3 linked regions of the Arabidopsis thaliana genome follow. The protein of the gene in region 3 purifies or fractionates together with the protein of the main gene of each other region. This does not show direct contact. Each region holds a gene or a part of one and is shown on either strand. Other genes may lie near its edges.

What was found.
Region 1: the proteins of PIPK10 (region 3) and PFN2 purify together in Arabidopsis thaliana (affinity purification with mass spectrometry, with the first as the bait; one study listed by BioGRID). This does not show direct contact.
Region 2: the proteins of PIPK10 (region 3) and ARAC1 purify together in Arabidopsis thaliana (affinity purification with mass spectrometry, with the first as the bait; one study listed by BioGRID). This does not show direct contact.

Annotation. Positions count from the first base shown.
Region 1 is NC_003075.7:14,445,441-14,455,133, reverse strand, and holds PFN2 (profilin 2), read right to left. Parts: upstream 5,247-9,693; 5' UTR 5,000-5,246; coding exon 4,877-4,999; intron 4,399-4,876; coding exon 4,261-4,398; intron 4,150-4,260; coding exon 4,015-4,149; 3' UTR 3,740-4,014; downstream 1-3,739. Other genes in the region: AT4G29360 (O-Glycosyl hydrolases family 17 protein), read left to right, coding at 1,447-1,534, 1,770-2,606, 2,682-3,191, 3,283-3,325, 3,416-3,572; PRF4 (profilin 4), read right to left, coding at 6,667-6,801, 6,887-7,024, 7,285-7,416; DER1 (DERLIN-1), read right to left, coding at 8,182-8,371, 8,466-8,626, 8,709-8,837, 9,087-9,180, 9,268-9,341, 9,448-9,583. UniProt on the Arabidopsis thaliana protein: Binds to actin monomers and regulates the organization of the actin cytoskeleton. At high concentrations, profilin prevents the polymerization of actin, whereas it enhances it at low concentrations.
Region 2 is NC_003071.7:7,737,818-7,742,780, reverse strand, and holds ARAC1 (RAC-like 1), read right to left. Parts: upstream 2,995-4,963; 5' UTR 2,469-2,994; coding exon 2,370-2,468; intron 2,177-2,369; coding exon 2,089-2,176; intron 2,000-2,088; coding exon 1,890-1,999; intron 1,791-1,889; coding exon 1,727-1,790; intron 1,253-1,726; coding exon 1,188-1,252; intron 1,097-1,187; coding exon 1,031-1,096; intron 941-1,030; coding exon 839-940; 3' UTR 501-838; downstream 1-500. Other genes in the region: VPS35A (vacuolar protein sorting-associated 35A-like protein), read right to left, coding at 3,437-3,638, 3,718-3,831, 3,904-4,007, 4,097-4,204, 4,308-4,388, 4,463-4,531, 4,777-4,866. UniProt on the Arabidopsis thaliana protein: Inactive GDP-bound Rho GTPases reside in the cytosol, are found in a complex with Rho GDP-dissociation inhibitors (Rho GDIs), and are released from the GDI protein in order to translocate to membranes upon activation.
Region 3 is NC_003075.7:497,667-508,256, forward strand, and holds PIPK10 (phosphatidylinositol phosphate kinase 10), read right to left. Parts: upstream 8,738-10,590; 5' UTR 8,496-8,737; coding exon 8,347-8,495; intron 8,258-8,346; coding exon 8,095-8,257; intron 7,998-8,094; coding exon 7,887-7,997; intron 7,807-7,886; coding exon 7,619-7,806; intron 7,526-7,618; coding exon 7,434-7,525; intron 7,345-7,433; coding exon 7,297-7,344; intron 7,204-7,296; coding exon 7,108-7,203; intron 7,025-7,107; coding exon 6,916-7,024; intron 6,825-6,915; coding exon 6,545-6,824; 3' UTR 6,469-6,544; downstream 1-6,468. Other genes in the region: AT4G01170 (uncharacterized protein), read left to right, coding at 1,831-3,165; AT4G01180 (XH/XS domain-containing protein), read right to left, coding at 3,621-3,908, 3,967-4,164, 4,248-4,529, 4,590-4,658, 4,735-4,916, 5,011-5,292, 5,365-5,728; AT4G01200 (Calcium-dependent lipid-binding (CaLB domain) family protein), read right to left, coding at 9,117-9,869; AT4G01210 (glycosyl transferase family 1 protein), read right to left, coding at 10,072-10,527.

The sequences.
Region 1 (9,693 bases), about 14 Mb from region 3:
ATGGTCAAAATTTACTTCTAGTGTTTTATCGTTCTAATTAACTATTGTTGATAATTTAACTCAATCATATTTTTGTATGATATCTTCGTAAAATTTCTATTTCAAAATATTAAAAAAAAAAAAGGGACATTCAATCTCCAAGAGACTAAATAAGAGAGAGTCATCAAACCGAAAGACTTATACAATGCTGGAATTGATATGACTCGTATTGTGTAACCATAGCATCAGACCACCACTCAGCCTTACCCTAAACCTCACTTCCATTGCATCTTGTTTCTAAGGAAATCTCGGCATAAAAAATTGTTGTTCCCGCTCTGGCTTTGGGGTTCCACATAACCATTGGGGAGATTGGTGCTCAGGCAATTCTAAGCAGAAATATTCTTAGAATTTTGAGATCGTGTAGTGTAGATTTGGGGAGAAATATTCTTTTTGAATAAAAAAAAGTAAAATAGAAATATTCTTTCTAAATTTTTGAAGTCAAAATGTTAAGAGAATCGAGAAGAAATTCACCGTTGTTTTTCAAAAAAAGATTCACTGTAGTTAATGGGTTAATGCCCAAAGAAAAATAGGAGAAGAAACCCAATTGGCCCACGCCCACTCAAATCAAGAAATTAACTTGGTACGACATTATCATCTTTAATAAAATTTTGTATACAGTACCTTCATTGCCATGATCAAATCCATATTAGATACATCGTTTGAATTATACCCTTATTAGGCTCAAACTCTTATTATCATTGTTCCAAGCAATAGATCATCTTGATTTTAAGTAAGCCTTTATAATGTTCCACATGTTCTCATCAACTACTTATGACACTGCTTAAAATCTGATAAAACTAGTAGCCAGACCCAAAAACAACTTATGCTTGTGCACTCTAAAATTCCAAAACAACATACTGGATTTACATTTTCAAATGGTAAAAAATCAAATGTAAGAAATTGCAATTACTTTGGTAAATACAAAAATTGCATTGAGTGGAGATTGGACCGTTAAAAAAAAAAAAAAAAAAAAAAAGCAGACCACTGTGGTCTGTCTGTACTGTAGTACTCTTTGCACTCGAACCCATTTATCTTTTTAATATTATTTTTTATTATTATAAATCTAAAAAAGTTTTTTTTTTTTTTTTTTTTTGTTCTCGAAGCAGTAAAATCTACTACAACAGTCAAAGAGAGAGAGCAAACATGCTCGCTTAATTCACGGAATCGAGACGTTTCTACAAACTCAATTTTATATTTTCAGCTGGAATCCGAACTCTGATATAGAAAGCACACAACGTTCACCTCCAGTGACTTCTCTCTATCTCTAAATCTCTCTTGCGTCACTTAAAAAGTCGGTGCTTCCTACTTAAGTGTTCTTGAGAGTGAGACGTTTCATTTCTGGGTTCAAGGGTGTAGAATAAACACTTGAGTGAAGTTTAAAGCTTGAGAAAGACAGAGGAAAGAAAAATGGGTCAAAGACTGAATCTAGTCTTCTGGATTTTTGTCTCCATTCTTGCCTTTTTGAGTATGTCTTTACACTCAAATCCTCTTTTGGGTCTGCATTTACCTTTGATTCTCTCTTCTATGTTTCACTATCTCTTAAATTTGTCTTCTTGATGTTAAAGTTCGATGCTTTACTTTTTGTCCTGGGTTAATCTCTGTTTCACTGTAGTAGTTCTTGTCTGAAAATCTCGAATCTGTTAGCTTTGAACTACTTTTAGGTGTTTGGAATCGACATTTGAGATTCAAAAGCAGCCATTTTTGAGACTTGTTTTGTGGATTTGTTGCAGATTTTGGTATGGCTAGCAAGATTGGGATATGTTATGGAAGAAATGCTGATAATCTTCCAAGTCCTAACAGAGTCTCTGAGCTAATCCAACATCTCAACATCAAATTTGTTCGAATCTATGACGCCAACATTGATGTTCTTAAAGCTTTTGCAAACACTGGAATCGAGCTTATGATTGGTGTCCCTAACGCTGATCTACTTGCATTTGCTCAGTTTCAATCCAATGTAGATACTTGGCTTAGCAACAACATCCTTCCTTATTATCCATCTACCAAAATCACTTCGATTTCAGTTGGTCTTGAAGTAACTGAAGCACCAGACAATGCCACTGGTCTAGTCTTACCTGCGATGCGAAACATTCACACAGCTCTTAAGAAGTCTGGTTTGGATAAAAAGATCAAGATCTCGAGCTCACATTCCCTTGCTATCTTGTCACGCTCCTTCCCGCCTTCGTCAGCTTCTTTCAGCAAGAAGCATTCAGCGTTCTTGAAACCAATGCTTGAGTTCTTGGTTGAGAATGAGTCTCCCTTTATGATAGACCTGTATCCGTATTATGCTTACAGAGATTCCACTGAAAAAGTTCCGTTGGAGTATGCTCTATTCGAGTCATCTTCGCAGGTTGTTGATCCTGCCACGGGTTTGCTTTACTCCAACATGTTTGATGCTCAGCTTGACGCTATCTATTTCGCTTTGACTGCTATGAGCTTTAAGACCGTTAAGGTTATGGTCACTGAGTCCGGGTGGCCGAGTAAAGGCTCGCCTAAAGAGACAGCTGCAACTCCTGAGAACGCTCTGGCTTACAATACCAACCTCATCCGCCATGTCATTGGTGATCCAGGTAATCTTTTTATGATCATTAGATACAAAGATAGATGGAAGCATTTTATGAACTGATTTGTTTTCTATTGGTTAGGTACTCCTGCAAAGCCTGGAGAAGAGATAGATGTGTACTTATTCTCGTTGTTCAATGAGAACCGGAAGCCTGGGATAGAATCCGAGAGAAACTGGGGAATGTTCTACGCGAACGGAACTAATGTTTACGCTTTAGACTTCACTGGGGAAAACACTACGCCTGTTTCTCCAACAAATTCAACCACAGGTACCAGTCCAAGTCCAAGTTCAAGTCCAATTATCAACGGTAACTCGACAGTAACCATCGGAGGAGGAGGAGGAGGAGGAACCAAGAAATGGTGTATTGCTTCTTCACAAGCTTCGGTAACGGAACTGCAGACTGCATTGGACTGGGCTTGTGGTCCTGGAAATGTTGATTGTTCAGCTGTTCAACCAGACCAACCTTGCTTTGAACCAGATACTGTTCTCTCACACGCATCTTATGCATTCAACACTTATTACCAACAGAGCGGAGCAAGCAGCATAGATTGCAGCTTTAATGGAGCCAGCGTTGAAGTTGACAAGGATCCAAGTAAGTATTTGTATACATACACTTTCCAAAACACATCCATTAAGAGTAATGTGAAGCCATAGTAGTCTCATTTGAGCTCTCGAAATTGCAGGTTATGGTAACTGTTTGTACATGATTGCTCCGGCTACCGACGGGTGACTTCTCTCTCTGATTACTCAATCTTGAATCTATCGAACTGGAAAAACGAATCTTACTTGCTGATGTTGTTGTTGTTACTTTTGCAGATTCAACAGAACAATGGCGGGTAATATCACTGGAAACATAACTGCCATTGATTCCCCCTTGGCTTCGCCTTCGTCAACCAATGAAGCATTCAGACAAATGGTGGTTGCAGTCTCTGTTTTGTTGCCGTGTTTTGTAGTTTGTTCGAGTATTTGGTGACAAGTGTGTACATGAATGCACTGTCGCCTTCTTTTGTATGAAGTTTTGAGTAGTGAGCGAACTTAAACTAGAATTTAGCCCAACTGTTGAACTTGGTAATTTCTTTCACCACGTAACCGAAATGTCAAGCTTGGTGATGTATTTGTGACTGAACCTAGAAAATTTTTATGAGCTGATCGAGAACAAATGATCACAAACTCAAATTTTTATTCCAAAGCGTAATTATACATTACGAAATACAGTACAAGAGAAAAACATAAGAGCCATCATAGGAGAGGATCAAAACCATAACAAATATGATTGTTTCTTTGTTCTTTTTAAGAGTATAATAACTTTGTTTGATGCACAACAACAATCAAATCACAATACATGGCAGAAGGGTGCTTCTCTAGTGAAGAAAGAACCCGAAAAATGAAATTTGTTTGAAGCACTTTGAGTGAACTTAGAGACCAGACTCGATAAGGTAATCGCCGAGCCTCTCCACGACCAAGTTGCATTGCCCTCCGGTCATCGGTTCATCATAGATACCAAAGACTAGAGCTTGAGTAGTCTTCTTGATAGTGACTCCACCAGGTCCCTGCAAGAAGTAAGCATGGACTTTAACTTGCTGATCTAAAAGACTGATCCTTTGATTCATTATCTCAATCAAAACCACAAAAAAAGAGTCTTCTCGAATGAAAAATGTTACCTTTTTCCCTCGGATGACGGCTCCAGCCTCACCTTGGACAACCATGTACTTCTCACCGCCAAGGAATAGCCCGGTTGGGGCAAGATGTCCGGCTTCTTCAAAGTCTTTGTTGATTCCTGCTATCTCTGCAGGCTTCAACTAAATACATGAACAAGAACAACAAAGTAGGCAATTAGCTTCAACCGACTGAGCAATGATACTACTACCAATACAACAGATCCTTTACATGGTTTATACAATACTGAGCAGAGGTGACAATTCATATGCAATGACCCTAAGATCTCAAATTCAAGTAAAATACCAAATTTTGAAGAATTTGGTGAAAAGTTTTATCATTTGATGAATTGAAAGGAGATAAGATTCTGTGCCAAGCAAAACACCTATAGACAAGATTTGACTACTGAAACCATGAAAATCTCAGAATCAAACTCCAATCAATCACTGAGAAAATCAGATTGTCAGAGAGAACAAGTCAGAAGCTAGCAAATCAAAACCAGATCCAAGTTTCCTCAGATCGGATCACAAGGAATAAACCTAAATCAGACGATTGAATCAGATCGATGAACTTATTTGAGACAGAGGATCGGAAGAAACGCGAAGAAGAAGGAAGAAAAACCTGAGGGAAAGCTGAGCTCTGAGCCCAGACACTGCCGTCTTGGCCGAAGATGGCGGCGTGTGTGAGGTGGTTGCCTTCGACCTCGCACATGAGATGGTCATCGACGTATGATTGCCACGACATCTTTCTTCTTCTCCGGCGAGATGAGACTGTTTCTTCTTCTTCTTGTTGTCTCTGCTTCTTCTTCTTCTTCCTCTTCTTCTGTAGCGTGCTTTTGGTTTGTAGACTTGGACAACCTTTGAGCTTAAATTATTAATAACACGATTTAGCCTTCCAATAAAAAAAAACTCTTTTTTAATTTCTACTGCAAAAAATTCCATTAAAATACATATTTTATTTATTTACTGAATTTGATAAAGACAGCTAAAAGAAATACCAAAAAAAAAAAAAAAGTAGATACAAATGAAATTCAAAATGTTTTGTGTGAAAGTCGATAAATAATTTTAAAATGATAATCAAAAGAAAATATTTTTAAAATGATTAAAATTTGCATCCGGTTAAAAGAAATGATTTTTTTAATCTATTAACAATTTCATTTCTCGGGTTTTACATTATTTCTACAGTTTTTATTTTTAAACAAGATCATATAGAAAATGCATATAATTCTTGCATGGTATAATTTGATCTAACGCTAAAAGTATATTGAAAATTTGTGTAAATAAAATTGTCAAACCAAATGTGAAAACGTTTTAGATTTTATTGGAACAAATGAAGTTTACATAAATAAACAATACAAAAGTTTTTTTTTCTTTTCTAAAAAAAACAATACTAGAGAATTTAATTTCCAAAATCAAAGAAAAGAGATCGAAGTATGGCCATAATTTGTTTACAGGGTGGATATGCTCTTGCATTGTGTGCCATACACCAAAATATTCCAATTATTTAGGTCCACCCTTTACAATTAATGTTCTCTTTTCCTAATGTCATTGTCAATAAATGTTTCTTAATTACCCAAAATTTAGAAAGATGGTTAATAAACCTTTTTCTATTCCAAAAAAAAAAAAAATGTTTTTGAGTTATTGAAGAGAAACAATCACTTGCTATTGTTAATTTGTTATATGTGCATCGTATTGATTCAAAGTGAATATTGTGAGATAACAAAAATTTCCTTATATCTAAGTGATAATGTAATAATAGGGAAAAAAGACTGAGATTCGATTTCTCGATGAGCTGTTAGATTAGCACATAATAAAGACAGATGGGATGGGAATGATTTTCCGACATAATTGTACTATTATTACTTTCCTATTAAAGATTAAAGTTGATGAATGAATTCTGCCTGTTGCCATTTTTCTTTCTCATGTTCATTTTTTCTTTCTTACGAATGAAATCACTAGGAAAGATTGCGTTGCGTATCAGTTTTTTCTTCTGTTGTAAATAATGAGTGTTGATGTATGTGTTAAATGCTCGTGTAAATTTTGAAAGTGTTTTTAGTATTGTGAGATTAATGTCTCTACTACACTACATACAATTTTCTATAGATTATGATAATGCAATTTTCTCAATCAATACGTTAATATTTAGTGTAGTAGACAGAATGCAATTGACAAAAAAGCAAAGAGAAAACAACTAAAACATGCATATAAATAAGAAACCAAGGCAAAGAGAGTAAAAGCCTTTTAGGCTTCAGCTTTCTTAAAAGTTTGCTATGGGGAGAAACCAGGAAGGTCCATTAGCCCAAAACTTATAATATCAATTAGAGAAAGAGATGCAAATCACCCAAAGGAAAAAAATAGGAGAAACAATGGCCTTATAAAAAAATGTAGGTGGTGGAACATTGTAAGAAGATTCTAGAGACCCTGTTCGAGGAGGTAATCACCCAACCTCTCGACGACCATGTTGCACTGTCCTGGTGTCACTGGCTCTTCATAGATCCCAAACACACATGACTGTCCTGTTTTCTTTATCGTTATGCCTCCTGCTCCCTAATTGAAAGAAGCATATATTGAATTAGAACCCTCTTCAACATGGTATTTGCATATCTGATCATGAAGCTACTGATTAGGTTACCTTCTTGCCACGGATTACAGCCCCGGGCTCACCTTGGATCACCATGTACTTTGCTCCTGCCATGAATAATCCCGTGGGTGCCAAGTGACCCGGTTCGTCGAAATCTTTCATAATATCACTGAACTCCTGTCCCTTGAACTATATGAAAGACCAAATCACGATTAGTCGATTACCATGAGACAACATGCATCATTTGTTTTCAAATCTATGCAAAACATATAAAAAGAAACACACACACACAAAATACACTATATATATATCCCATGACAAACATTGATAGAATCTAATCAAAACATGATGCATGATCTAAATCACATTGTAAAAACACATATCATATCGGATAGCAACACTATCAGGATCTAAATCACATTGAGATCAGACGCAATGAAATCAAATACCTGAGGGAAGTTGGCGCTCTGAGCCCAAACGCTACCGTCATGACCAACGATAGCGGCAGCAGTAAGGTGGTGTCCTTGACCATCGCCAACATCACACATCAAATGCTCATCAACGTAAGTTTGCCACGACATCTTCTTCTTCTTTTCTTATTTTTTTTCTTCTTCTTTGTTTATGATCTATACGTTAAGTGCCCCGGTTATGTGCAGCGTGGGGACTTCGTCCTTCAGATAAATAGGAGAGGAAGGAACAAGGATCATTTTAAAACCGTTGGATCACATAGACGAATTCTCAGCCCTACATCTTACTTTTTCTTCAAAAAAACAAGGAGTGATTTTCAATTAGTGCCGCTCAAGTTTCGCCTTTGTTATAGCTCAATCATTGTTTCGCTATTTGCCACGTCTACTTTCTTCCCTTTTCCTATTTCCCCTATTTATAAACGATCACCAACGGCATTTTAGAGGAAGGACCGAAGGAATGATTATTTACTCGTTAGTCGTAATCTTGTTAGCCAATAATAATATTATGTCCTAAAAAATTCAAACTTGTTACGACCAAACTCTTTGGTCACGAATTTAATAACTTATCTAGATAGATATTCAAACTCGTTACGTCCAAATTCTTATGTCACAAATTTCATTTGATTATATTCATAGTGGCTATAGTTTATCGAATTCAATTTAGTAAGGAGATGATTGCTAGACAAAAACAAAAACATAGAAACATGAACCACATTTTGAAAAGAACATTGTATTAAAACCTCAAAGATTCTTCCTACAGAGTCATATATTCAAAAACTGTACTGTTCGAAAACACAAAGCTACCTGGGATTAGTTAGTGGCATTGTTTGAAAAAGATTTGATATGATGAAAACAAAGAAACTCGAGAAGATTTCTATTTCAGTCGGTGAGACGATATGATCGACCTCTGAATGCTGTGTTTGAACTCTCGGGTGGGGCACGAGCGCTTGAATAAGCTCCTCCTCCTCCTACTCCTCCTCCAGCTCCGGGTCCTGCTGCTCCTACACCACCTGCTTGTCGAACACTTGCAACTGGAGCTCCAATTCGCCATCTTGCTACGATTTTATTACTGTTGAGAATGTCAAGGTACAACAGCAAAACAAAAACTGAGAAGCGAGAGAAACAATCATCTGGAAATAATCGAGAATTTGAATAAAGGATACACCCATTTTGGGGTTTTCAGGTAGTTTTTTCCGGTAGCAAGAGGATGAAGGACTGTTAGGAAGTAGTATAGATGTCCAGCTATGATGCCAAGAAGATCTGGCATGATCGGAGAACCGAAGATAACATCAAGTGCTAGCATTGCCCATGGGAGGTAGAAAGCCTGTGGAGTAATTCCAACTTTCACCATTAACATTATATATACCAAGGAGTGGATTTGATTACAAAAGAAACACTTTCAATACCTTAAGAGTGACAAGACCGTATAGGCTGATGTTGGCATTTGGAAATTCTCGGCTCCAGAGATAAAGAAGCATGAACACAAGTGAAACACCAAGAAACGGTGTCCAGAAAAATGGTATGACTGATAATACCTGAAATTTGAACAAGGTAACTGTTTTAACACACGGATTTACTAGTATGAATACCTTCCAAAATTTTGTCTCGCTTTAATAAAATGCAACCCTGATTCAATTCTTTGAGAGCTTCTGATCTTCTCAGCTTTGGGATATTATGTACCAGCGATTATCTACTTTGTGGCATACCACATACTAGTACTGGGGTTCTCAAAGAACCAATAACAATGATCAGTAAGAATAGAATACAGGGGAGGCTTTACATACCAATAGAGTGAAGGATCCAAAGATCATCATCCACAAAAAGTCTGCTGTCCGCCTTTCAAATGGCCCTTTCTCGAGTTGAACTCCATATCTTGCTCTGCACAATCATTTAAAAGAGTATGTTAAGATAATAAAAATCGAAATTAGCTTTGTTCATCTATATATGTGAAAATAGTATGCTCACATCATCAAAAGACGTATTCCAAAATTGATAGAGAAACCACCGAGGAAAAACAAGTTTGTTATCAGCCTCCAGATCTACAAACACCAAATAGATCAAAAATTGCAGAATGAATTAGGAACTTAGGATGACAGAGATTTGTGAGAAAGAAAGGAAAATCATAAAAAAGAATAAATCATATACCTGGAACTGCTTAAGTACAAGTTCAGGAATTAAAGCAATGTGAACGGGAGCAACTAAGCCAAGCTGCGTGGCTACTGTAGTGAAAAAGCACAACGTACCATAAGCCTTGGTTATAGGTGGAAGTGAGTTATAGAATCTGCAATCAATAACAAGCGATCTAAGAAACAATTTGACAGATAAACAATCAAAATCATACATATTCCATCCATCTATAAATTTCTAATCAGGAAATGTCATCAAGATCAG
Region 2 (4,963 bases), on a different chromosome or scaffold from region 3:
CATGCAGGTTTCGAACCTGCGACCTTCGCGTTATTAGCACGACGCTCTAACCAACTGAGCTAATGGGCCATTTGTTCAAATTCTTCACAAGTCAGTTAAACTTCAAAAGCGAAATGAAGTGCATGTTGTGAAATGGCATCGTTTAGCAACATGACTATTTTTTTTTGGAACTTATATGTTGTTCTACACGAGGTAAGAACGGAGGCGCTGGCTAGTTGCATGGTGAAGACTGAAGAGAGCAGCTTCATCTTTTTGAGATTGCTCTGTTTTTGGGTTTGTTTCTCTTGTTTTGAGGATTGTGTGATGGATGAGAAGTGGAGTTTGAGAGGTTTATTTATAAGAAAATATATTAAAGAAGGTAATGACTGGCATAGTTGAATGCAAAATTCTGATTTTTGTATCACAATACTGAAACATTCAGAACTTTTAAAGACTTATATGCATCACAATTTTTTGGATGAAGTATTCAAGACAATAAAATATACCAAATTGCACCATTTGTTAAATTAGAATTGGAAGAATGAGAACAAGTAATATGTTCAAATTAGTAGACTTAAGTAAAGTTGAAGTGGAAAATCCATCATCTCTGTTTTCTTCAACTAGTCATTGAAATCGAAGGAAGAATAGAGAAGTGGTAAGTGCAATATTAGGTCTCAGCTAAAGCTGGAAACTATTCATCAATAAACAGAAATAATCGTTTTTTTAAGGATTAAGAGAGCTTATCACAACGAACTCTGGAACAATTTTTAAGCCCAATGTGTTTTCTTCTTAAGCCTTCACTAGAAGAGTGGAAGAGACAGAGAGACAGAGAGAGATACGTAAGAGAAGCGTAGAGAAATTACAAAATGGAGCAGGCTTTTTGTGCTTTGCTTTTCTTTTTCTTCTGCTTTGGAGGTTGAAGAACCACTCGGATCGCTGCATCAAATACTCCTTTCACGTTCTGCAATTTCATTAAAAAAAAGCTTTGAGAAAAGCTAAGTAAAGAAGCAGAGTAGTACTCAAAACAAAAGGGAAAGTTTTTGTGTCTTGCCTCTTGTGTTTTTGAACTGCACTCGATGTATGCGGGAGCTCCAATTAGTTTCTTCAGTTCCTCTCCCTTTGATGCCCAAAGTGGTGAACGGTTAAAAGGGTTCGTTTAAGTAACAGGCTAAGTAAATTGACACATTTCAAAGAAAAATTCTGTTTACCTGAGCAGTAGTAATTGGTACAGCGCCAGGGTGGTCAATGAAGAACTGTTTGTCATCCCGAAGATCTGGCATATATGATGAAACACAAAACATAAGCACCAGACGAAACTCATAACTATTAAAAGTAGGTCTAGACGGATCAGACAGCAGGCCGAAAGTTAAGCATTGGTATTAAAAGTAAGAAACAGAATCCGTTACACCAATTTTGGCACAACATCTTGTATAAGCCTTTTCTATTAGGTTTATAATTGCTAGACATCCAACAGCTGCTTACATGCATGTAGTTGTCTCTTACAATGGAGGTTAACTATCAAGAGAAAATGTGAGATATGATCCATAACGTATCGCGGAATTCATTAAAAATGATGACGAAACATCACAGACAAGCTTGTAAACCTAGATTATTTCAGGATTTGTGATACTCCAAAATCCAGGCCTAGTTTCCGCTAGACACAAAAGAGCTAAAAGGTACTACATGGATATATCTTGGACGTGAACAAATCAAATTAGCAGACATATATGTCAAAAAACGAGCTTACCTAGTTTGGTTCCAACAAGAACTATAGGGACACCAGGGGCATAATGCTTCAGCTCTGGGATCCACTGCAAAACGAAGATAAAGCAGCAAAAATCACAACCAAAAGACTTTCTTCAGAGTATTCATATCAAAACTTGTAGCAAACATTCATTTCAAAAACGTACCTTCTTGGAGACATTCTCATAACTAGCCTTACTGATAAGAGAGAATGCTAAGATGAAAACATCAGCACCGCGGTAACTCAAAGGTCTTAATCTGTTATAATCCTCCTGCCCTGTTTACAACAACAAAACAAAAGTTTCAGACCCCAAATCCCATAGCTGCCGCTACTACTAAGTAAGATCCCTATTATTTAGTCAGTACCTGCGGTATCCCATAGCCCAAGATTCACAGTGGCTCCATTAACAACCACATTTGCGCTAAAGTTATCGAAAACAGTCGGTACATAATCCTGTTCCACATGAATTTACAAGATTCAATGAGATACAAAGCTCCACAAATCCTCATAACACCAAAAAAAAATTATGGATCGATTCATGTATTGCCACAAGCTTTGGTCTCATCAATCAATAGAGAAGACAATTTTGAAGCTTGTAATTCACAGAACACAGAATATGATTCAATCTAAGGAAGGAACATTATACCGTAGGAAAAGTGTTGCTGGTGTAAGAAATCAGCAAACAGGTTTTACCAACAGCTCCGTCGCCAACGGTGACACACTTTATGAACCTCGAAGCGCTCATTTCTCTTCTTCTTCCTTCTCCACCAGAAATGGAGCTACGTACGTCTATGTATGATCACAACAAACAAAATTTTGAAAAAAAAAAAAAAGAATCTCTAATTCAAAAATAGCAACCTCAGATCTACAAAACCTGAGGAAACAACCTCAAATATAAGCTCTCAAAAGCGTTTTATTTTTCCTTTCAATTCACCATCTCCGGTACAAAGGGAACAAGAAAAACCCTAGAAATGTGAAAAGAGAGGAAACCCTAAATTGGAATCGGAAATGTGAGAGATCAAAGAAGGGATCAAAGAAGAAGAATGGACGACGTTAACAACGATGAATCGAATTCTAGAGAACAACAACAAGGGAGAGAGAAAGAGAAAGTAGAAGAAATGTGATGGCCGGAAATTTATGCCATTGAAGCGTTCACAAAACGAACAATCTCCTCCATCAACTTTCTCCGATTGTTTTGCTTTTTTTTTTTCTCGTTTCTTTTCTGTTTTATTTTGTTTTTAAAAAAATTTAACCTACAATTTGTTTTTTTTTTAAATTTTATTATTTTTTCAAAATTTTTTAAGTTGATTTCGTAAACTGAATTTCTATTGATATATTTGAAGGCTGAAGCCTCACAAAGGTTGTTAATTATGCGTTATACAATGGTATTGAAAATGTTTTTATGCGTCAATAATCATTCAACAGAATACATAAAATGAATACTTTTTTCATGAAGGACATTATCTAATATGTAATATCCAATGTTAAACTCAGAATACTAAAGATTCGTATAAACACACATCAAACTCCACAAGTTACAGACCATGAACCGCCTTGAAAATCCGAGGAATAAAACTAGACCTAAACCCGGGTTTACATTTCGAGCAGCAAGCAACACAATATCAGTCCCTTTCCGATTCTCAAACGACTCAAAGCAAAGCTTTTTTTTTTTTTAATAAAAACAAACCGACTTCTTTTGACCAACATGAGATTCTATACTTTGATCGCCTGGTATCTCTCACCAATGGCACCCTCTTTCTGCTTTTGGAACTCCATGAACTCAAGCGTAGTTGCAAAGAATGATTCAGCAGATGGATCAGAGGGCATCGATTCTTCGTTCTTGATCAGTTTTATCAGGCTTTCTACTGATTCAACTGTTATCTGTGGAACCCCTTTCTCATAGAAATAGAGGTACCTGCCATAATTCACATTACATAATGCTGCTTGCTGATCTGGGAAAATGAGAAGTAAAACAAACAATAAAAAGCGCTTACTTGTTTAGTATCTCGATGAAGAGGGTAACAGACCCTGTACTACCCCGAGCTGTGTTGGCCACTTGTTGAGCCGAATTTGCAATTTTAAGCGCTCGTTTCAGACAAAGTAGAACCCTGATTTCAAGTAAGAAACCTAATGAGCTATTTTAAACACACTGTGTTCTATCGCACAGAAGAAAGTATTACCTTTCTCCATCTTGTATGGTCTCACGATCTTCCAGCCAGAACAAATGAGAACAGGCATAAACAGCTCGACATTGATCAGGTTTCTTTAGAAGTTTCGCTGCATACTGCAAGAGTATAAGTTTTCCCTTGTCAGCCTTTAAGCAGAGACAATTGAATATGGTAAGAGACTAATTATCATATCATGATGAAATACCCCCGTAGCCTTGTGCGTTAATGTATCTCTATTCTCAACACCAAATACTTGCATCCTCTGCAGAGTTCCAATTATAAGTTGTAACGCAGTCACCTGGGCCTTTGAGTCCTGTTCAAAAGGCAAGTTTTTGACGCACGAGAGAGAGTTAAACTCACCTACTTGCTTTGGTTTAGACACGAGACATATGAACGTCCGCGAAAACATAACTAACCGAAATTTCTTCTTCGTATAAGATGTATGCCTGGGTGAAAAATTCGTATGCAATTGGTTCTTCATCACACTTATCCGCAGCCTGATGAAATAGGAAAGATCTGTGAGCATTTTACCGAGCAAGTGCATACTAAATAAACAGGTACGTAGTTTTACCTCAGCACATTGCAAGTACAACCGGAATGCCAGGTCAGGTGATGGAACATTAGGTAGCGCTTCGATAATCTGCAACAAGCAAAAAAATCCAACAATAAATACAAGAACTGATGACTGTAGTGGAGACAGAGCAATAACAGCAGTCTCTTTAGCTAATATCTACAAACTGTTGATTGAGAATTTTCAACGTTGTCAATCAGCTTGTATGAACTAACTTTGGCTAAGTTTTAAAAAAGTAATGTAGCTCTGAGACACATTGTTCTACCTAAAAACAGATCTGAACACACAAGGCAGTGAAAAGTTATGAAACTTACCTGATTTAGAAATTGGAATATTTTAGTAGCAGTAACGGAAGCCTCTTTTCCAAAAGGATTGTCTCCTTCCACTGGCAATCGCCTGATTAGCTACAATTTAAACAAAACAGACAACAAAAATTACAGAATTTGAAGAAGAACAAAATTAACAAACTATATCAGATACTCTTCTATGCGGTATGGCACA
Region 3 (10,590 bases):
GATATGGGTTTTTTTGGGTATTTGAGACTTTAAAAATGCAAATTTTTGTGTTTGTCGTATTCGAAATAAATGTATTGACAAAAAGTTATATAAATGAATTGATATGCGGTATATTTAGATAATTTCCATTTTTTAAAAAATTTCCTTTCAAAGATTATTATATGAATCTATGGGGTTTAGTTTTTTTTGAGATTTTAATAATACAAATTTTGTGTTTGTCGTATTCGAAATAAATAAATAAATATATATATATATATATATATATTTCAAAGTAAAGTTATATAAACTAAATGAGATGTGTAATATTTAGATGATTTCCAAATTTTATAATCTATCTTTTTATTGCCATTTTAAGATCTTATTATATAAAATATGATTTTCAAAGTTATTAATTCATAGGTTCACGATACGTGTCAAATTTATTGATCTCAGAATTTGATACATCTTAGACAAAAAAATTCTTTTATTAATCTTAAAACTCTAATAAAATAGTTATAAGAAATTATAAAGTAAAAATAATAATTATATAGTAACTAAACATTTTTCATATGTAAATAAGATAATTATAAGAAAACTATATGTATATTTTTAAATAAAATTAGAAATAATATAAAGTTGCTGACAAAATTAAACAAAAAAGAAATTAGATACTAATTCTAATTTGAAGCTACTAATTCTAAAAGAAAAATGATTATTTTTTATTTTAAAATTTTAAATAGATTTAGGAAATTATACAATCTTATTATATAAAAATACAATAGCTATATGGGAATTTTACAATAAATTATTAATCATAGAAGGAAAATGATTCTAAATTTTCATCTCTATATAAACAAATAGATAGTCTTCAAATTTCTCACCAAACTACCAAAAACTTTTCAAAAACACCACCCATACTTCAACGTCAGTCTATGAGTAAAGCTATTTTTTTGTCCTTGTGTAATTTGGTTTCGAACTATGATTATGTTTTTAGTTGGAAATCAATATCATCAATACAATAAAAACACTAGATTTTTCTCGTGTTGACATATCATTAAAAATTACTATAACATTAATACAACTCAGCTCTGCGTAGGTATGAACTATGAAGCTGTGTGTTGTGTTTCATTTTCCTCTGTAATTTGTAATTAAGTAATCGAAATTTTCATTAAAGAAGATAACGAATAACATCATGTTGTAATTCTCACATTCTCTCTATCTCTTTCTCTGTTCTTAGTTTCTTTGTTCTAGAGAGTATAATATTACTCTGTACTTAGTGAGTCATGGTAGTTGATAGGTATTTAATTGCAAGAATATCTCTATACTGGCAAAAACAAGGTGAAATAAAAGTTTGTTTTGCGAATACCAAATCCATCAAAAGGTAATGTAACCCAATGCATGCTCAAGTGTGTCTGAGAATAATAATTTATATAGCCGTCGTAGCCACTCTCAAGTCTTATCTCACGTCTCTTCATATTCTCCTTTTATCTCCAAAATTTCCTTAATGGTGTAGCAAAACTTGATATCTGCATTTAAACCCTAATATATATTATTACCTTCTTTCCTTTTCCGTTTCTTATTTCTCTCTCTTTCTTGAGAACAACATTCTCCTTTTCTCTCCAAAATCTCCTTCATTTTCTGAGTTTTGTGTTCACAAGCAGAGTCGCTCTAAACGGTATGCTTAATTCTACGTTTCTTCATCTGTTTTGGCTTTCTTTGTTTTGTCTTTATATAGCTTTCATGGTTTCTTTCTGCATTATGGTTTTAACGACAAGGATTAGGGTTTTTCCTTGCATAATTATTTCCTAATTTTTGTTCTGTTTTATTCGATTTAATAGAGTGTTGATTGCGATGAAGAAGAAAGCCATTGTGATTGATGATGGATATATTCCAATTATCTGTCTTGACGAAGATGATGATGATGATCTTATGATTGATAAGGACTACAACGTCTTCTTGGATCATCTTCGAAGAGGAAGTGTAAGCCCTCGTCTTGAAGTTGACAATGGAGAATCTGACATTCGTAAATTAAAGATCTTTTCTTGTGATTCGAAGATATCAAAGCTTGAGAATGAGAATCCAATGAAGAACAGAGTTCATCAACAGGGCCAGAGGAAAACTGTTGGGTTAAAGGCTGAAAGAGATAAAATCCAAGACATCATTCAACGAGACAACAGAGTTGCTGAACGAAGAAAGCGGAGGATTGCGATGTTAGATGCTGCAAAGGCTTCAAGAGACGTTCCTTTACTCGAAACCCAACAAGAAGACATTCAACAACGAGTTAGGAAACTTTCTGATTCAAAGGCTGAGACTGAGACTTTAAGAAGAGATGATGTTCCATTGGTTGGAAGTCAAGAAGACAGTCAACGAGACAACACAGTTCCATTGGTTAGAACTGCAGAAGAGATTCAACTAGCCAAGAGGGTTGTTGCGGAGATTGATCATGTGGAGCGAGTAAATAGAGTTACAGAGGTTAATGATGTAGATGAGACTTGTTCAAGGAGCAAAGAAGTTTTTGTAGGGAGAAGGAAGAAGAATGAGGGTAGTGAAGCGGTTGTGGATAAGGATTACATGAGGTACCTCACATGGCTTGTAGATTCTCTTAGGGATTCGACAACTGAGCCAATGGAAAATCTTCAGAAAGATGATATGGATACTTTAAAAGAATCGACAATGGTACCTGAAATGGATCCACTAGTCGAAGTGAAGGTTGAACCAGATCATGATTGGTCTGATTATATAATTGCGATGGGTGATTCGCCGTTTTTGGATGTAGAAGAGTGTACACCGTTTGTGGCGTCCAAGAAAGTAGTTGATCTTGATGAAGGAAGCAAAAAGAATGAAAGTAGTATCACTTGGTTTAGAAAGGAGCTAATGGATGTTCTGAAACAACCATATGATGAAGAAGAGATGAAGCAGCTCCATCGTGACGTATCAATCCATAGAAAAATGACTCGATGCAGAGAACTACGAAAGGGAAGAGGATCTGTTTATGAGACTGGCGAACTGGGACAATCTTATCTAGAAAGTTTCCCTGATTTCGAAAAAGAATACAAGCTTGTGGTTGGTGTTGATGATAAGGCAAGAGCTTTGAAGTTGCTGCGTGGCTTTTTCTTTTACTTGAAATATGTTTCTCATGATGGTGTTTTCAAGCCTTGGGAGAAGACTCAAAGTTGGCAACCTTAGGATATGGTAAAGCTTTGGCTTCATGTAGTTTCTTGTAACTCAAGAATCTGATTTTATTGAGTAGGTTTTTCCTGAAAACTGATGCAATGTCTCTGACTTTTTTAAACGTTGTATCAAAAGATCTGAAACAGCCTTTGAAGGTGATAACAATCAGACATTGTCAAGTTGTCAAAACTAACAGAGAACAAGATGTGGAACCAAAATCCTTTATATGTACATGGCTAATATATGTTCGACAAGTACATGTATACGTAAGTATATAATAATGATAAGCAATTCATAATCCAATTTAACCAAACATACATAACCGGAAACAATTTCTCAGCTCCATTTCTTGTGATCTAAGACTCTACGATATATTATCAATCAACAACACAAGATAAGAAAAACTAATTGAAACTGGAAACTTAACAAAAAGGGACAACATTTTCCTAAGGCTCTTCATAGTTGTCTCCTCAAGGCCTCTTTCGTTTGTTCTTCATAGCAGCAAGTTTGGACCTTATCTTCAACATCACATCTGTTATTTCCTCGATAGTCGCCTTTCGGTTCTCCTCATAGTTCCAAAGCTCTTCAGTCTCATAGCTGCCACTAGCGTTATGTTCCTCCATCTCTAGCTTTGCTCTTACCACTTCACTATAAACTTCTTCACCGTACTGGTTCTTCAGCATACGAAGCTTCTCATCATTTTCATCCACCACTCTCTGCATTTCACATTTGGAATGTTGAGATATATGTAATTTTTGCTACAAACCCATCTTTTGAGATTTATGAAAGTGTAGACTCCTAAGTTAAAGTCCTAACCTTTGGTGTTCCATCAGACTCATCGACCCTAAATGGAGTCCATTGCACATCTCCTATCTCTGCTGCCCACACTGAACACAGCATCATAGCCTTATGTTTGTTCATCACTGCAGGCAAGAAGGGTGCAGGGTTCAACTCCCCCATTATCTTCACTCTAATCTTCTCTTGCTTCATCAACTCTTCATTCGCCTTCCATACCTGCTCATCATCAAAAGTAATTCCACAAGTTAAAAGGACAAGCCAAAGAGTTTGGAACAGATATATTTAGAACGTTTTCGAACCTTAATCATCTCTTTACGAGCGTCTTGATACTCATCGTTGGTCGCACGTTCTTTTCGTGCGAGAGTCATCATTTTTTCATGGAGAGCTGTTTCTCGAGCGTCAAGCTCTATCTGAGTTTTGGCTATCTTCTCCACAATATCTTTATCTCCATCACAACCCACCATATGCTTCATCACATTTGTAGTACCTTTCAGCTTCTCTATCTCCAACTCAAGCTCTTGCGTTTCATTTAGCTTAGCTTCCATTTCCATTATCCTTTTATGAAGCTTCTCCTTCTCTTTCTGCAAAAGTTGTTAGTTATTACTTGTTCATAACTAAAGAAACACTAAAGAAGTACTTGCCTGGTGCTTTTCTGCAAGTTTCATAGCTTCCTCATTCGCTTCATTCTGCTCACACATAGCCTTTTGAATCTACAACAACAACAACAAGAAAGATTTTATTGCCTTGTGATATTTTTCTCCTAATTTGTAAGGAAAGCATAATCACCATTTCTCTTTCAAGCCTGGTCTTTTCCATCTCTTCTTCGTTTTTGATAGCCCGTTGCTCAATCAATCTTGCACGCTCGTCAAGCTTCTCCCTCTTTGCCTCCAGTTCTGCAAAAGACTTTTCATGTCCACCAAGAACCTGTTGATAAAACTCTTGCATATTCTTCTCCATCTTCTGAATCTCTTCTCATCAAAATAACAAACAAACAAACCAAAAGAATACACATGTCAGCATGAAAACACAAACAGAAAGCTTATTAAAGTGTTTCTGTTTTACCTTCTTGGTAGCTATTGTTTAACATAAGGTTATGAAATTCCAAACTCTCCAAAGTCTCATCAACTTTCTGTTCAAGCTGTTGTTTACGTTGCTTATTCTTCTCAATGGTTTGACACATATTCTCAAATAGATGATACAGTTTCCTCTGGTCTTCCTCTACAATCTGAGAGATACTTTTCAAATCCCTCTTCTTCTTGACATTCTTCCCAACAGTATCACTTCGATTATAATCATCCTCTCTCGCAAGCCATCCATAAAGCTTATCATCTCTCAAGCGATGACCTTTTCCAAACAAAGAAAGTGAACTCTATCAATGTCAATAAAAGCAAATGACTTTTAAAAACAATGTTTTACCTTTTTTCCAATCTCTCTTCCCATGACGGTCTAAATCAAAACTCTTTTCGAATTGCATGGCGCTTTCGAATCCTTTAAAGTCTTTAGCGAATTCAACCAAAGCAAAACCAGTATGTCCCTTGGTATTCCAAATGGGTTTGACTCTTGTTGGATTAAACCCTTTCAGAGTGAACTCATCACGTAACGTTGAACCGCTTTTGCCTACTCTCCGACCAGATGGTTCCACCTCAGTTGGTACGTTGGCTACTAGACCAACCCATGGCCACACATATCGTTTTTGTTGGTCTTGTCCAGAACACTCGTTGTTGTTGTTCATCTCTGATGTCTCAGCTACAAATTCCTGCTTTTGTTGTTTCTTCTTCATCTTAAACCTGCAATAAAAGAGATTTCCAATTCAGATTATACTTCCAAGAACAATAATCAAACGCAGAAACATGACTATGTTGGAATCTATTAATTGCTTAATATCATACAAGAGAAACTTGAAGAGAAAGATGAGAAGATGATGAAGAGAAAAGATACTTGAGTAAGTAATGGAGGAAGAAGAAGCCCGTTGTACGAGGAGGAAGAAGAAGCGTCGTGAAAAAGAAGAAAGAAGAAAAGTCAATTGGGCCATAAGATAAGTAAAGCCCAAATAGAAATGGCTTTGTTTTGTTTAGTATAAAAGTTGTTAGGTTAAGGATAATAAGATATTAAATATGTTGTAATGTTGTAACAGAAGAATTATTTAGAGATTAAGGAGAAAAACGTTGAACTGGCTAAACCTAATCTCTAAGAGATCTAAAGAGAGTAACAATGTAGACATACAAGACTAATCTCTGTAAGTGTTCTAAATGCTGCTTTGTGATTAACAAAACAAAGTAAACAGAGATATATATGTTCCAACTGAAAGTTTTAATTAAAGGGTTGACTTGGTTTGATTGGTTTTTTCTTTTGTGTTGAACCAAGAACAATGTTGGGTTTTTTTTATTTTGGGTTTTGTCTTTTTCTGTATTTTATATTTTTGATATATGTGTATTAATAGTTCATGTTTTTCTCTACATTTTGTTGATCGATCAACAATGAAGTCAGAAAAGAGAGGATTTTTTGGACAACAAACACCAACACCAACTTGGGTCGTAAGAAGTGTACCTCTTAACACTCTAATAATTCCACTTGGAAATCAAAAATAACAAACAACTCAATATTTCGAAGAGAGATCATCGTCGTGAGGTAGGAAGATGTTGGAGACAAAGTCTTGGAATCTAGAAGAGTAGATCTTAGGATGGACGGTTGAGATTGAGTTTGAGTTATATTGAATGGATTTGTAACAATGTTCTATGCGTTTCTTCATACCATAGTCTTGAAATGTGTCTACTATCCCTATATACAAAACAACATTGTACCATTCTTCTTCTCCGGTTTCTCTCGTCACTCGCCGTGCCCTCGCTGGAATCTTCATCCCAAAATTGATATTTGAGCTGAAACAAGAAAAGTTAGATATATATATATATTTTTTTTGATGTGAAATTTCTAGCAATGTTGTTATATAGGAGTAGGATAATGCTTTACCTATTGTGAAAGAGGTCACTGAGTGTTGTGGCTAATATATTTGTTTCTGAGCTTGCGCTATTGCTTGTCACTGATTGTATAGTCATTGACATTTCGTTTTCGACTGAATCTGTTAGTAAGACAATAAGTTTATAAAAATTGTAATTTTTGTTAAGTACTATGATTAATTAGATTAAAAAGTTACATTGTTACCTCTATCGGGAGAGCATGAATACATTGCTACAGAAGATCTATCAGGAGAACTAGAAGCCGTCTTCATCGACTTTGTGCTATTGCTTTTGAACGAGCCTGAAAAATTTAATCGGTAGACATTTATGTTGAAGACTTGGTATATAAGAACATAAAACAAAAGAATGAAGAATGTTGGTAAGGATTTTTTACTTGGAGGTGCGAAGCTACCGTAAACCGGGTTCAATCCATCAAGTGAACCTGTTAAGAGTGATTTATTATTATGATCAGAAAAGTTCAAAGTCGATATGCAAATAGTTGCACTCCTAAGAAGAGAGAAGAAACATTACCTTGACATGAGCCTTTAGATTGTAAACCAACCAATAAGCTATAATCCATTATACCTTCTTCTTCCAAAAGCTCGCAATCTAGCTTTGTTTGCCTGTAATGAGATGACCCCTTTTGTGTTTAATAAATTGTTGAGTAACTAGAATCAAGATGGTAGAAAGAAAGAGGGGTGGGGGTGGGATAGTACTTGATGATGCGTTGTCTCGCCAAAGGATCAACGTAGAAACAGAAATCGAAATCGATGTCCTTCAAAACAGTGGTGTTTCTCACTTCAATTTTCTTGTTAGATCGACCTTTCGGAGAACCTTTAAGATCATAGAGCTTGTTCACAAAGATCGTTGAATGTAGCATGTTTGACATCACAGCAAAATATGTCTGTATCCCCAAAAAAGTAACTAATTAGTGGCTGATCAAACTCTAATAATGGAGTGGTATATATATATAATCCTTGTCACCTTAACACCTCCAAGAGGCTTCACAGAATGAGCACCAAAAATCCTTGTGAATAGTGATGATCTGTGATAATTAATATGTCTGTAGTAACGTGGAAGCATCTCTAGTGTCACCTTCACAAGATTGTTTTCAATGAAAGACTCAATATGGAACATATATACACACTTGAAAAAATTAAAAGTAGATTGTGTTAAGATGATTTTGGGGTACCTTAATTTCGGATTTTCGAAGAATCTTGATGAGAAAACGGTTATCATTGGAAATATGAAAGACATTTCCAATTTTCCCAGAAGAAATCTTCTTGAGAGTCTCATCAGTGCAAATGGATAGCAAGTAATCATCATGATCTATACCCTCAAGTTCTTGAATAAGTCTACAAACAACAACAAAAAAAACATTACAAAAACCAATTCTCTTCTTTTTTTTACCTTAAAACATGAAACTATGTTATTACGTACGTACCCGAAACCAACGGGACAGTAATCCTTCCAATCAAACTCAGTGATTGAGCCAGGTGGCAAGTGTTTAATGTGTTTTGTAGAGTATCGAATTCGATTCTCCACCGTGGCTCTCAGCTCCATGGCTGTTATCAATCTCGTAAACTTTGCCATAATTTAAACCCTAAATAGATCATAGCAAAATCATAAATTTATGAACTTAATAAAAAACCTTAAAACTAAAAATTTGATTGCTCTACGTATATGAAGATTTACCTGTTTTCGTACAAGCTGCAATTTCTGATAAAGAGGAAGGCACAAACAGAGAAGATGAAGAAGACAAGAGAGAGTGATTGATTTTTTTATAAAAGATGATGATTTTGTTATTTCTGGTAGGACGTAATTAGTGGTTTTAACTAATCCAGCCGTTAAACTAACAATTATCTCCTCAAAACTTCATAAACGACTTCCCGCGTTTTTTTTTTTTTCACTTTTTACATAATTTTTACTACACTTTTTTTCTGTGATCTACGAATTATTACTATTTCATATCAAAAAGATTTTTTAATTGTTCAAAAACGAAACAACAATTATTGAATATAATGTTTTGAGCAACTAGAACTAAAGAAATTCCAAACTGTTTGTTAACTAACACTCATAACCGCCAAAACTGCCTAAACGACGACGTAAGGGATAAGGAGACCTGAACCGTTGACAGAGATGCACGTGACGAAGATCGATGGTTTAGAAAACCAAAGGAACATCTGAACCGTTGGAAATTCAAGACAACAGATCTCAGCCGTCCGTCATTTTTCTTCTTGGTGGTAACATGCCCGACGATTTCATCAAGAAACAGCACATCAATCCTCCGCCGTCCGATGACGATCGCACGTGATTCTTTCCCGCCAAATTTCGAACAGCGTTCCAGTCTCTGAGAGGAGACGGCATCGGAGAAGACGCCGTCGAGTCAGTACCGTCGTCGGAGAAATTAACCGATCCGCAAACCGAATTCTCTTTCGAACTCTCACCGTCGTCAGCGGAACCGTTCTCCGACGAACTAACCGCAGATCTAGACTTTCTCATTTTCCGACTCCGACGGATCTCTTGAACCGACTTGAAGAAATCAGCTGGAAGTTCAGAAGCATCCATCACCATAGCCGCGATGTTAAGAACGCCGTGAAACTTTCCAGAAGGACGACGGATCTGAAGCGCGACGAGAGATGGAACTTTCACGGCGGCGGTTGGGAGGAAGTTACTCACGAGGAAGCGAACAGTTCCGATCAGATGATCTCGCAAGTAACCAACGGCGTAGATCTCGATTGAAACACCAGAAGTTTCGCTAGATAGAAACTCCGGCGATACCTGGAAAACGAATTTGTCGTTCCAGATCGGATTCTCAGAGCCGATCCGATCAATTCGAGTCCGGAGTTTGCTGGAAGAATCAACCCAGACGGATGCGTAAGTCTGCAATCGCCGGAGCTTTCCCGTCGGTTCTTTAAGTCCTTGCGCAGAGATGAGATTGATCTCAAGAACTTGCGTCTCCTCCATCTTCTCTCTTTCTTTGTTGTTCACAGTGAAGCTCCACCGCCGGAGAATTTAAGCCGTCGGTTAAATCGAAGAGAGGTGAGAAGAGAGAGGGAGAGTGAATGAATGAGACTTGAGACCTTTTATACAGTAATCTTTCCAAAAACAATGAATGAAACAAATTAGTGACCTAACAAAAAAAGAAGCAATTTTAATTTGTTTTCTTTTATGCGTCTACTACATTTAACAAAGTGGAATTTCCGGTAACAGTTTCGTTCTCAGGCGGTGGTTTTACATATTTTCCGATCACTTTCTGACGACCACTTCTACTTCTCATTCTACTCAGCTTATCTCGACTCTTCTTCTTCTTCTCCTCTTTCTCTAAATTCTTCTTTTGCTTCTCTTTCTCTAATGTACCGCGCCACACGATCTCGCCAGTCCATGGCCATAGCCAGTGACCCACACGACGGTCTGAGTCGGCTTCTTCAGCTAGATCTTCGTCCATTGTTTTCAGAGTTGTGTAATCGAACCACTTCACCCACATTTTCCCTCGCCGGTTCTTCTGTTTGTGTTGCTCTTGCATCAAACCAGTCTCAGGATCTATGTAGACAATGCGTCTTGCACTGTGGTAAGCCCATACGTTCACCAGAAGCTCTAGTACCCGCGAATAGCAATGCTTGTCCTGTGAGAAATTGAACACATAAATCCAAACCCAAGTGGACTGATCTGATTTAGATCTAAAAAC